2 linked regions of the Caenorhabditis elegans genome follow. The protein of the gene in region 1 purifies or fractionates together with the protein of each later gene. This does not show direct contact. Each region holds a gene or a part of one and is shown on either strand. Other genes may lie near its edges.

Region 1 (7,408 bases):
AATCAAGGATGTATTCATGAAACCGCTCAGTATCTTTCCCAATTCATCAACATTCACGACGCGAATTTTGTCGAAAAACTAGACATTGATGTCAAATACTGGTCTCAGCTCTTCTCTATCGAAAAGTTCAGACACATCCGAAATCTCAGAATAGTGCACAATGCGCCTGGATCAACACATTGGTGGCTGAACAGAATTAACACAATGCGAACTATTCCAGAAGTAACAATTGCGCGAAACTATACTGGAGACTTTGTTGAGGAAAAGGAGTATCGTAGTAGAAGAAATGCAGTCATGCACCATGAAGTTATGCCGTACGTGATTCCATTCGAAGAACGTGAGATGCCGAATTGGGTAGAGAAGACTTCGTATTGCAATTATCCGGTAAGATATTTTTAAAATATTATGCCGATTTAAATAAAACATCGTATTTTCAGATCTTCTGGGCGAAACGAATCATCTTTGAGAATACTATTGAGAACCCTCTTACCGATTTGGCAAGAATGAGCTCGTTGGCTGAGGTCAACTTAAACCGTTATATTCTTCCGAATTCGGAACTTCTCGAATTTCTCCAAATGTGGTCAAACGGACAGATGGGTCACCGTCTGCGGAGTGTCACTATCAATCTCGATTGCCCGTTATCAAAGAGCGAACCGATTTTGAATGGTCTCCAATATTCGAAGACAAGCGATATTGAGTTGTGAGGAATCAGTTCTTTGTGGCAGTTTTGATTATTCTTAATTCAGATCGTCTCCGCTTACGAAGGCTGTTGAAAAGAACAACTATATTTCGTACGTTCTATATCGTGAGTGGAAAGTGTTGCGTCCCGATGGCCTGCAATCGACACGTGGTTTTCAAAAAGAATCTCTTTCGTCTGGGTATGGAAGCTCTCTTCCTGGTTCCGGACCTTCGACTCCTCCATCGGAATCAAATATAGAAGAAGCAGGAGTTACTCCGACGAACGCCGAATCCAAAAACATGTCCTCAGGGCAGCACAGTAAACAAAACTCAAGTGATGAGACTCAATCTCGAGGTTTATTTCTAGATAATTATTTCTAGTTAAAAGTTGAATTTTTAGACCGATCTGGTTCGGGTGTATCAGGAACTTCATCGAATGGCGAGGTATCATCTACTCCGGGTAGGACTGTTTGGCACGGAGGTGCGTGTGCATTGCTCCAGATTTCCCAAGATAAGAAGAACATTTTGTTCACGGCAATTCACAACGAGAAGTTCGCATGCGAACTTGCTAGATTCCGCTTTTCTACATCTAAATAAATGTCCACCAACATTCATTTAAAAATTGTATCTATCGTTGTATGATAACTAATCTTTAAAATTTTTCCGACTTCCAATTGATCGCAAGTTTGTGAAACCATAAATAGCTTAACCCTGTATTTTATTTTCTTTATCAGAAATGCCTTTCGCGATGTTTAGCGAAATAATTTGGGTATCAGAATAGGAAGTTAGTTTCTGCTAATAATGTTTCAAATTTGATTTCGGAAGAGCAAGTAGATATATTAATGATTGTATTCAAGTTCTGTAGCTTTGTTCTAAGGTCCACTAAAGACGTATAATATTTTGTAGACTGATTATTTCACTATTCAAAAAAGTGAGAACTATACAGGTGTATATATTCAAACGTTTCGGGCGAAGTTTTTCTTTAATAACTTTTTTTTCTGATTCATAATTTGCGCCATCATCTTACTTTCTTGTTAATGGAGATGTATCATGAAGTTTTTTATAACAACAACATTTATAACACAAACAACGAGTGTTTAGGCTTGTTGTCCAGAGGATCTGAGGCTGGTGGCGATTCTGTCAAGATCCTTGCGTCCCTGCAAAATTTAGTTTTAGTACGATGTTGAAAATTTCGAGAAAATTCAAAAAAGAAAACATGCAGAAATTTAATTTTAATATAAACATCTAATTTTGCATGTTTAATTTTCAGCGCATATATTTATGAATAATTTTTAATAATTTATTTTTACAAAAAAGTTCGAATTTTATATTTTTAGATAATAAAATAGAATACTCACCTGCTTGGAGAGAATTCTTCCTTTGCCGTCTGGGTGCTTCTCAACCCACTTGATCTTCTCGAGTTGCTGAACAGCCTTTCTGAGGCAGTTTCCAGCTGAGGTTTGGAAATGGTTTGGTGCAACACCACGTCTCTTGTTTCCTCCGTAGACCTTCTTGAAGGCTCCGATTCCTAAATAGAAAAATAAGTAATGATTTTGTCAATAAAAAGTTACCGGCGGGGCGGAAATACAAGTGACGAGCAAGACTGGCAGCACGGGTGTAGAACCAATCTGGATCGACTGGGGCAAGCTCCTTGTTGACTCCGAGCTTAACAAGATCGGACCACTCTGGAACCTTAACCTTTCCACTCTTCTTCAAGAAGTGAGCGATGGACTTGGTAGCCTCGTGCTGGTCGACGTCCTTGATGGAGGTCGCTCTCGTCATTTTACCTGAAAAGGAAAAGTATAGCTTTGAAAAAATCGTATATTAGAAGACGGAAAGAAAACCCACTGCCAAAAAAACTATTCTTAACAACAAGCGCTTCAGAAAGTGGATATTATTTAAGAAAACTGTAAACGTAACATATTTCCTCCCAATCAATACATAGAAACTCGAAAAACCGTGAAAATCGCGTCAAAAAATTGAAAAAACCTGTAGGAAAAGAAACGAAAAAATTCTTCACCGCTGATCGTAAGACATAACCTGCATACCAATTGGCTGCGTAGCGACTCGGCACGCGACCGCAACGCACCGGGCGACACTCAGTACATTTTTTGAACAGCGGGGGCGGGCGTTTGAATTGAATTTTCAAACGATTTTTTTTGACGTCGTAACTTTTTGTTTCGCAGACACTTTTACGCTTAAAATGGCAAAATTAAACACATATGTTACAGCATAGACTTGAAGAACTGAACTGCTTGGAGGAAAATGGCATCGTCTTCGAACACTATGGGTAATTTTTTCGATATAATAAGAATGTGAAAGGTTAATTAATATTTTTGCGGGTCAAGCATATAAAATTCAACCTTATTGAAATTAAGGTGGTCACTCGAAGTGAATATCGACTCTAAAAATTAAACTTAACTTACGTGAAGTTTTCCTTTTATTTTCTGTTTTCAGAATTCGAAGAAGACGACTCCACCGTCACACAGACAAGGTTACCTGCTTTTCGAGTATCCATACATATTTATCCCACTATTTCAGCCTCCCCACAACAACTTCAGTTCTGGATAAAAGTAGGAGTCTTTTTGGGAACTCTGCTGTGATTTCTGTAAGTCCAGTGTGTTTGTATTAATCTAAAATTTGCTTACTTAGACCCCAGCTAGAGATTCAACTCCTGATGGGCACATAGTCGATTCGAGTGTCATTACCAAGTCATCAGTTATCATAGAAGCGGAAGACGAGCCAGATGTAGCTGCCGATGTTACTGCACTTGATAAAGAAAAGGCAGAAGATGAGCCACAATGTTCAGCCGGTAAGGATGCTAAATCTGGAGAAAGCATGAACGACTCGGAAAAGTCTGAATCACCAATTGAAGAAGGAGAGGGAGAAACTTTCGAGAAAAAAATTATCTCGATGGATACTAGTGACGATAAATTAGACATTGCTGAATCGATTTCTGTTTCAAATGATACCGAGAAACCTGAAGAAAATGAAGAAAAGGTGGTTGGAGATGAAGATGAAGAAGATATTGATGATGTGCAAGAAGACGACGAAGACGAAGCTCCAAAAAAGAAAACTAAGGTTTGTTGATAATTCGAAAAACCTAATTTTAATCAATTAATATTGAAGAAGGCAGTGTCAACGTCAGATGACGACGATCTGCATGAAGATGATTCTCCAAAAGGAGGTAGTGTGAGCGACGAGAAAGAAGAACCAGAGAATGAGGACGATACAGAGGAACCCGAAAATGAGGTTGAAGTAGAAAGTCCAGTGAAAGAGCAAGCAGATAGTGGTGAACCTATTGAGAATGTTAATGATGACAAGGCGTCTGAACCAGGCGTTGGTGAGATTTCACAAGACAGTGTTGATGATTCTCAAAAAATTGGTCTCGATTCAAAATCGCCAGATGGAGAATCAGAAGCAAATGAAGAGAACCAAGAATCTCAATCTTCTAGCCGCAGCACTCGTCGCGCTAAAAGAGTTTCAGCAACTGTTTCGTCTACTCCTTCGTCAAACACTCCACGCCGTGGTGGTCGTGGGCAAAAATCGGAAGTGAATGCAGATGAAACGAAAACGCCCATTGTTAGTAACAGCACCCCCAGGCGTGGTCGATCTTCCAGGGGTGGAGACAGAGATGAAGTAATTGATCCTACGGAGAATGTTGTTGGCGACTCTGGCGTTGAAGAAACATCACCGCGCAAGGGAAGATCAAGACGCTCTGTTGCAACAGAAGACACATCTGTCACCGAGGAAGTTGAAAACACGGAACATCCAACTGAAGAAGAAACTCCGAAACAGGGGCGTGGAAGACGTTCAGCTGCATCTTCTTCAGCAACTTCGTCTGCAGTGCCAACACCGCGGTCCACAAGAGGAAGAGGAAGAAAGTCGCAAGCAAATGAGGAAAACTTGCAAGAAAAAGAAACCGAAGACCCTACAAAAACTCACGATACAAACCAAGCGAAGTCCACCCGAACTCCGCGAGGAAGGCGTTCTAATGCTGATGCTGAAACTATGGAAAGTGTAGAAGCTGAGAAAGTCGAAACTCCAACATCATCTCGTAGATCTACAAGGGCTAAGCCTCCTGCAAAATCTGCTCCGGTGACGCCGGCTGTGACAAATAAACGAACGACAGTTCGTGGAAGAAAGAAGCAAGGTTCTATCACAGAAGACCCTATCGAAGAAGCTGATGAGACTATTGAAGAAACTCTACCACAAAAGAAAGGTCGTGGAGCAGCTAAAAGTGCGCCTTCATCGAGCAAGAAAAGTGCAGAATATGATCCATATGATCTTGATACTGAAATGGAGCATCATCCAGAACCTTTGAAGAATATTCACGTGAGAATTAAAAATTAATGTTTATCTGTAATTTTGCTTGTTTTCAGATGGAAGTGCACAATTTTGGTGCTGTCAAGTATGCCAAATTGGGTAATTCAGAGTCAAAGTATTCTATGACAGAGAAGGCGGCAGAGTCTAGAATTGCTGAGTTACAATGTAAGTTGTTTTGTAGTTTCTTGAAATTAAGAATATCTATGCTTTCAGCTTCTCCTGCTGCTAAGAATCGGCGTTCTCTTGCTGATATGACTCCTGGTAAAGATAAGATGAAGCATAGAGTATCGTCTGTAGGAACTTCGGGAAGAAGATCAAGAGCTAAAAAGGAGGAAGAACATCACGAAAATGATATTGAAATGGAAGATGCGCCTGCAACTGCTACCCCAGCTTCGTCAAATCGTGGAAGAAAGAGAAAAAGTGAAGCTTCTGACATCAAAACACCTCCGGCGAAAAAAGAACCAGTTATTCCTCTTAAAAATCTATCTGATGAGGATCAACTACTAGTTGATCATCCACAAGACGATAATGAACCTCATGCTCCTGGAGCTCGAGTCTACGCTGTGTTTCAGAAGATGTTTTATCCCGCTGTCGTTCTTTCGGAGCGTGATGGTCTCGGAAGATACAAGGTACAATTCACGGTTGATAACGTCATTAAAGATGTTCCAAATTCTGGAATCATTCCACTTCGCGCTTTATCCCCTGGCAAAACTGCAGTCTACAACGAATCCGATGTTCGATTGGATTCTGGTCCTAACGATATTAGTGCTGCGGAATGGAAAAAAGGAAAATTAACCATATCGATCATGGATGAAGATGGGGAACCAACTGACGAAGTGAAGGTTGTTGATTGGTATGATGTTTCTTTCGATCATTCAGAATGGCGAGACTATGTTAAAAGCAAAGATCAAAGTGCTACGGCTATTGTTACGTCTAATATTACTACAATATCGGAGGCTACTCGTGCTCGTAAGCCAACTACAGTTTCTAATCAAGCAAAACCAAAAGGTCGTAAGAAGAAGGGAGTTGATCTAGTTTCCTCTAGAGGAGGATCAGCAAGTCCGGCTGAAGAAGAAGAAAAGCTTTTGCCAATGAACGAGGAAGCTATTGGAAAGAACATTTTCACCGGAAAGGTCTTCATGCTAACTTCGGCCAATCGTTCAAATTCTGCGAGTGTTCCTTCAATGTTCAAAAAGAAGAATCTGATGAACTTCATTACTCAGAATGGTGGGATCGTCACGGAGCAGCTTAATGTAAGATAACGTCTTACAAATAACATTCTAATCATTTTATTTTAAGAGCTTCCAAGAGCGTTACTCCAACTACGAACCATTGCTGATTTCTGATACGTACTATCGTACTCACAAGTACTTGGCAGCTTTAGCTCGTGGTGTTCCTTGTGTTAACAATACATGGTTACAAGCATGTGGTGAACAGGGGAAATGTGTCGACTATACGGACTATGTTCTTCCTGCAGGTGCTTCAATTTTTGACGAGTCTCAGGATATGCCAGCGTAAGTGAACTTTCATGATGAATGATTTCAATTCCGTTAGATTTTTGATTTTTATAACGATTCTGAAAATTCTGATCATCGAAAACATTTAAGGCCCAAAAATCCATCAGAGCTTTTGAAAGGAACAACAATTTATGTACACTCAACTCACTCAGCTCGTGAAGTAACACAAACTGGACCCGGAGGAACTTTCATCGAGATTTGGAAACCTATTCTTGAGCTTCTCGGTGCTGATGTAGTCGACGGAGACTGGGAAACTCTTGACGAAACAGGTCTCAAATTTGACGTTGTTTTAGTTGATGGAACTTTCCGTGACGAAGTCATGGAGTATGCAGATACTATTGGAGCAAGTAGAGTCACTTCCGAATGGGTTATCCAAGTGAGATTCCGTTTTCCTCGTCGTTTAATTGTTATACATTTTTCAGACAATAATTCTTGGCAAAGCTCCTGAGCCAAATGCTCATCCAAAATTCGATCCATACCGTCTGCATCACCGCACGCGTCATTGAATATCATCTCATCTCACCCCCTTTCCCCATTTCCCTTCTCATTTTGTACACTACGTTTTTATATCAACTTTTTAAATAACTATTCTACTTTCCCTACCGTGCTCCATCCGCTGAAATATCGTCGATCTCTTACTCGAAAATTTACCCGCTCAGTGTGCTGGTCAACAAGCGGTGACATTGTATGCGTATTCATTAACCATTTTTTGTGAATTTTTGAGCTCTTCCCAATTTATTATTATAGAACTGCATTTTCTAAGCCCCTGTTTTGAAGCTCTTCCATCTTTTTTAAATCACGATCATCATTCCTTTCCCAGTTACTTCTGCAACGTATTTATTATAATTTATTCGAAAGCTTCTGAGAACTTTTTAACTATTCCTTTT
Region 2 (5,096 bases), on another chromosome or scaffold:
TTTTTGTGTCAAAAATCACAAAATTTCGCGTCTGTTAGAATATAATCGACTTACGAGCAATTGTAAAGTCTGCAAGACACTTCAAAAGGTTTCTGAACATCTACGCATGCTGGCGTCTTCTCGACAGAAAGTCGAACATCTCCATATCCAGGTGCCTAAACTCGTTTCAATATGTTCTATCAAAAGAAGTGAAACTTACAATTCTTTGAAGAGCACTAGTTTGGAGCCGTCCCTTCTCTCCCATGCTCGTTCTCCATGACATATCCAACTTTCCAATACTTGTCAAATCTTTATATCCAAGTGTGTTATGAACATCGGCTGGTGTTAGACAGAACAAAAACTGACGAATGTCTTTTGGTTTCAGAAGTTTTCCAACATCGCCAAATTCATCCCTATAAATATTTTTAAAAAATATAAATACTATATATTACGGTCCTAAAAATTCTGAAATGCGTATTGCGCAACATACTTGACACGCAAAATATCTCGTAGCGAAAACTACAGTAATTCTTTAGATGCCTACTGTAGCGCTCATGTCGATTTACGGGCTAGATTTCGAAACGAATTTCTGTTCGAATAGTGACAGCGATAATCCATTTTTCTTCGTTTTTTCGTATTATTTTCTTTAATTTCAATATTTGTTCGATAAATAAATTTTCGGAAATCGACACAAGCGCTATAGTAGACATTTAAAAAGTTACTGTAGTTTTCGCTAAAAGATATTTTGCGCAATAATTATACTCAGAATTTTGTATTCCCGTAATATGTAGTACGTACTCATGAGCGATACTAGTAACATTATAATGTTGACTTGGATCCAACTCGACTTTTTCCAGGAACATATTCGCATTTGATGTATTTTCAATTTGGGCTTCGAGGTAGACATCTTGATTCTGAAAGAAACATAATTTAGACAAAAATAAAATATTTTAAAGTTCTCACCGCATTGTCCTAAAGAAAACGACATTTATACACAGCACTCGGTTGGACGAAACATGCAAAATTGACCAAATAAAATTAATATTTATTACAAAATCTCACACACCTCGGCACTGTAAAACTTTGTTTTCACATCAATCGGTTTCGATACTGGAAATTTGAAAAATTTCCGGAAATACATGTTCTCGCCGTTCGATGTTTTGTAGTTGACCGAGCATATCAGTCTAAAAAAGAACAAAGTTAATGCAAAGGTGTCATGGCAACGGGGGGAAGATTTTGAGAAAATGGAGGAAAACCAGAGAGAGATTAAACAGGAAAACTTACATATGTTGCCCGATTTCTTTCACTTCGTGACTGATGACCTGTCCTTCACATTTTGAAGATTCGATTGTTGCGTCTTGAACGGAACATGGAAGAACAACTCGTTGAGTTGATGTTTGAAGCTCACACTGAAACAAATCTTTTTTAAAAAGGAATATTGATGGGGTCTTTGAAAATTGATAATTGTTACATGTTAAATACCTGGAATTTTGGAAATTCACTTTTTCACAACTAAGAAAGCTGAAACTGCAAATCTGGAGTGAAATTAATTTGCTCATATTACCCAGATGCGCATTTTGTATCGAAAATAGAGTGGCCGGTCCCGACACGACAAATTTTAGTTAATTGCGAAAAGGGAGCGCGCCTTTCAGGAGTACTGTGGTTTCAAAATTTTGTTGCTGTGGAATTTGTATCGATTTTTCAACGTTTTTCTCTATTTGGTGAAATTTGAATTATTTTATCATTAATTTGAGTTTTCGTTTTAATATAAAAAAACTATGAAAATCGATAAATTCCGCAGCAACCAGTTTGAATTTCCAGTGAGCGAAGAAATTTAATTTTTTTTTACTTTTTATCTTAAAAAATGAGTCCATTTACTTACTTTTAGGCTCACACTAGAGACAGTCTTCTCGCTTTCGTTTACAACATTTACATAGAAAGTAAACGTCTCTCCCAGATAGATATTTCTGAAACGAAACGGTTTTTTAAACAGCGCCTTGATCAATCGACTCACTCGAACATTTGTGGTGCAATCAAATATTCGCCGATTGGAAGATCTTGTCGAGATTCTTTCGATATTTCTGAAACTTTTCCAGCGAGAAGTTCACCGAATCCTGTAGGATCGACGGGATCGTGGGAGAAACCATCGACAGGAGCAAATTTTGGACGAGCCAATCTCATAACTAAAATCGAAGCTATGATTGATTAATGATGAGAACTAAAATTACCCCGCAGAGCAAGAAGCTGTTGTGAAGAAGAACTTGCAGGATTGTCAGCCATTGTCCTGATTTATAAATAATTAGCTTTCCGCCGGGATGAAATCACAGTATAACTTTTCGGAATTTCTAACCTTACAAAATATTCTTTCGAGCTGGAATATTTGTGCAACTTTTATTGAGTTTAACAAAATGGAAGTCAGTGGAAAACTACCCAAAATAACGGAAAATAAACACCGAGGAACAGATATTACTAGAAGGATCCCCGGAACCCCTAAGAATTCAAAATCATCGGAACGTAGAAAGCTTGCTTTAAATACATAGCTAACATTTATTAGCCATTTGAGGATCGGGAATAAATTTGTATACAAAACAAGTATAACAACGAACACTAATGGGGGCGGAAAAAAAGGTGACAGAGCAAGTATTTTTTTAAAGAGATTCATTGAAATCGATCAACAGTAACAAGAAAAATGGGATATACTAATGCGGATGCTATCCGTACCGTTCATCTCACAAAACTCGCGAATTGGTCGATGAAAGGGTAGTGATTTATTGCTCATCGGCTTTCGTCTCGTTCTTTGAGGCGGCGTCGAAGTCTCCAACAAGTTCTGAAAAATGAACCTGTTATTTAAAAAAAATCTTTTATGATTTTCCAACCTGGCACATCTTCGTCCTCTCCCTTTCCATCTGGTCCGAGCTTGGTAACGTTGTTGGCAAGTTTCTTGAGGTGGGTGAGGGACTCTGGACCGAGTTGGTTGAGGATTCCTGGGAGCATTTCAGTGATCTCTGCAAAATATGTAAGGTTAAAAACATTCAGCCAATGAGCAATACTTACGCTTGTTATCGGCTGATCCTGTGACAGAGAAGGTATTGGCTGGAACAGAGGTTTGGACTTTTGGGTTGTTGAAGTGGATAACGGTTCCATCGTCCTTAATCATGTTGACCTGAAAAGTTACAGAAATTAAATTAATACTTTAAATCAAAGTTTACCTCCTCGATTCCTGGAATGTTGGTGACAGAGAGTTTCTTCAAGTTGCTTTGAAGCTTCTTGTCATCGGCAGCAGCGGTCTTGTGGATGACCTTCTTCTTTCTGCGTGGAGTTCCCTGAAAGAAATAGGAGAGATAAAATTATAAATTTAAATATTTACCTTTCCTCCAATTCTGACATGCTCCTGTTGAGCTTGGAGCTTCTTGATTCTCTCCGCAATAGCCTTGCTATCCATTTTTGGAAGGATTACCTGAAGACGAAAAATATAATTAAAGACGTGAAAACGTGAGAACAAAAAGGATAAAGCCAGTTAAGAATATTTATTCCTAAAATAACAAAGGGACGGGGAAAATGCGGACAAACGCGAAAAACGGAAATGTAAGTTTATCAATCGAATCAGTTTTAGCCTAAATTCAGGCACGGAAACGAATACACCTACGAGATCGACAGAAAATTATGAAAATGGTGTAAACAATAATGAAATAGAATCTAAAAAGATAGAAAGAAGTCAAAAACAATGAAATTCAGAAAAAATCACCGAAACGGTAGAAAATTTTTTCGCGAGACCCGAACATTCCGTGCGTATGTGCCCCTTGCTTTAAAATTTCTTGATATAGGGGTAAGGGGCACATACGCAGAATCTGGCTTGCTGCCAGTCGTTTTCCTCTCACCCTCTCTGTCTCGTCGTTTCTCATACTCCTTTCTTTCTCTATTTCTCTATATCTCGCTTCATCATTAAAATGTCAAAGCTATTTCGCAATTTTCTCGCTGTCTCGTTCTGCCATACCATGAATCACAAGGGTTTCTGGGCTTTATTTAAGTTGTGAAATTCTAGTTTAGAAACTCCTTCTTTCCTCATTTTCTTTTGAATTTTCTTTTCAATTCACTACCCTTTCCCGCAACGTACTTATCGCAATCTTTCATTCGAAGCAATGCCTTCTTAACGTGCTCCGTGTTTCGCCAGCTCGCTGTTAATCGATCGCCGCTCCGGCAATTGTCGTTTTGTTTGTATTAAATCTCCATAGCAATTCTCTCAAAGGCGGGCCATTGCTATATTGCTAGTAAAACAAGTTCCCAATTTTACTTTTCAATACATTCTTTGACTGATGTATCATGTGATCTCTTTTTTGTTCTTCTCGATTACACTATCTAAAAATGATGACGTATTTGCTTCGCGCCTATTTGGTTGAAGTGATGATTCATCCATTGATTGTCGTCTCCACTTGTGCTTTTTTCCTACGTCCTACCACTTCCTTTTAAGCGTTTTGTATATTCGCTTTTTCATTTATTTTTTTTTTGCAGAAAATGAGCCTGTTCGGCAAAATTTTCGGAGGCAGGAAGCAAGAAGCTCCGTCTACTCCACAAGAATCTATTCAAAAACTTCGGGAAACAGAGGAGATGCTTGAGAAGAAACAAGAATTCTTGGAGAAAAAAGTTATCGACGTAGGTTGGAAGATAATTTTTAAGAACAGGACCATTAATAAGTGTTTGTGCTGAAATCTAAATTTGTAAACTATCTGTTTGTGACGTAATTAAAACATTGCTCAGCATTTGGATTGTTGACTGACGTCAAATCAAATTTTAGTCGAGAAAAGTTAAAAAAGATTTTCTGATAGGATACATTTGGGAAATTGGAATCATAGTTTTATAATTCCAGTTTCCAACAAAAAATAATATTCTAAAATTAACATCAAATTTCGGACATTTAATTGAGAAACTTTCAGGAAAAGCAAAATGCCGTGAAGTATGGAACGAAAAACAAGCGAATGGCTCTCCAGTGTTTGAATAGAAAGAGAAATTTCGAGAAGCAGTTGGCCCATATTGACGGAGTTTTGTCTACTATCGGATATCAGGTTGGTATATAAGGGAAATATTATAAAAATTAATTGAACAGCACGGTTTTTTTCCAG

Evidence for each region. Proteins that work in one complex are often made in the same cells at the same time.
Region 2: the proteins of rps-19 (region 1) and icd-1 purify together in Caenorhabditis elegans (affinity purification with mass spectrometry; 2 studies listed by BioGRID, with this or other methods). This does not show direct contact.

The regions. Positions count from the first base shown.
Region 1 is NC_003279.8:9,623,332-9,630,739, forward strand, and holds rps-19 (Small ribosomal subunit protein eS19), read right to left. Parts: upstream 2,466-7,408; 5' UTR 2,461-2,465; coding exon 2,250-2,460; intron 2,207-2,249; coding exon 2,037-2,206; intron 1,836-2,036; coding exon 1,776-1,835; 3' UTR 1,737-1,775; downstream 1-1,736. Other genes in the region: T05F1.2 (F-box associated domain-containing protein), read left to right, coding at 1-384, 438-700, 747-1,033, 1,079-1,275; Protein hsr-9, read left to right, coding at 2,944-2,968, 3,136-3,172, 3,220-3,286, 3,331-3,759, 3,808-5,013, 5,061-5,169, 5,218-6,257, 6,304-6,518 and 2 more.
Region 2 is NC_003280.10:6,585,220-6,590,315, forward strand, and holds icd-1 (Transcription factor BTF3 homolog), read right to left. Parts: upstream 3,437-5,096; 5' UTR 3,422-3,436; coding exon 3,347-3,421; intron 3,303-3,346; coding exon 3,189-3,302; intron 3,143-3,188; coding exon 3,034-3,142; intron 2,985-3,033; coding exon 2,856-2,984; intron 2,807-2,855; coding exon 2,748-2,806; 3' UTR 2,358-2,747; downstream 1-2,357. Other genes in the region: C56C10.7 (putative trafficking protein particle complex subunit 13 homolog), read right to left, coding at 55-155, 200-392, 778-893, 943-951, 1,046-1,163, 1,264-1,388, 1,862-1,946, 1,994-2,162 and 1 more; vps-32.1 (Charged multivesicular body protein 4b), read left to right, coding at 4,492-4,629, 4,911-5,039.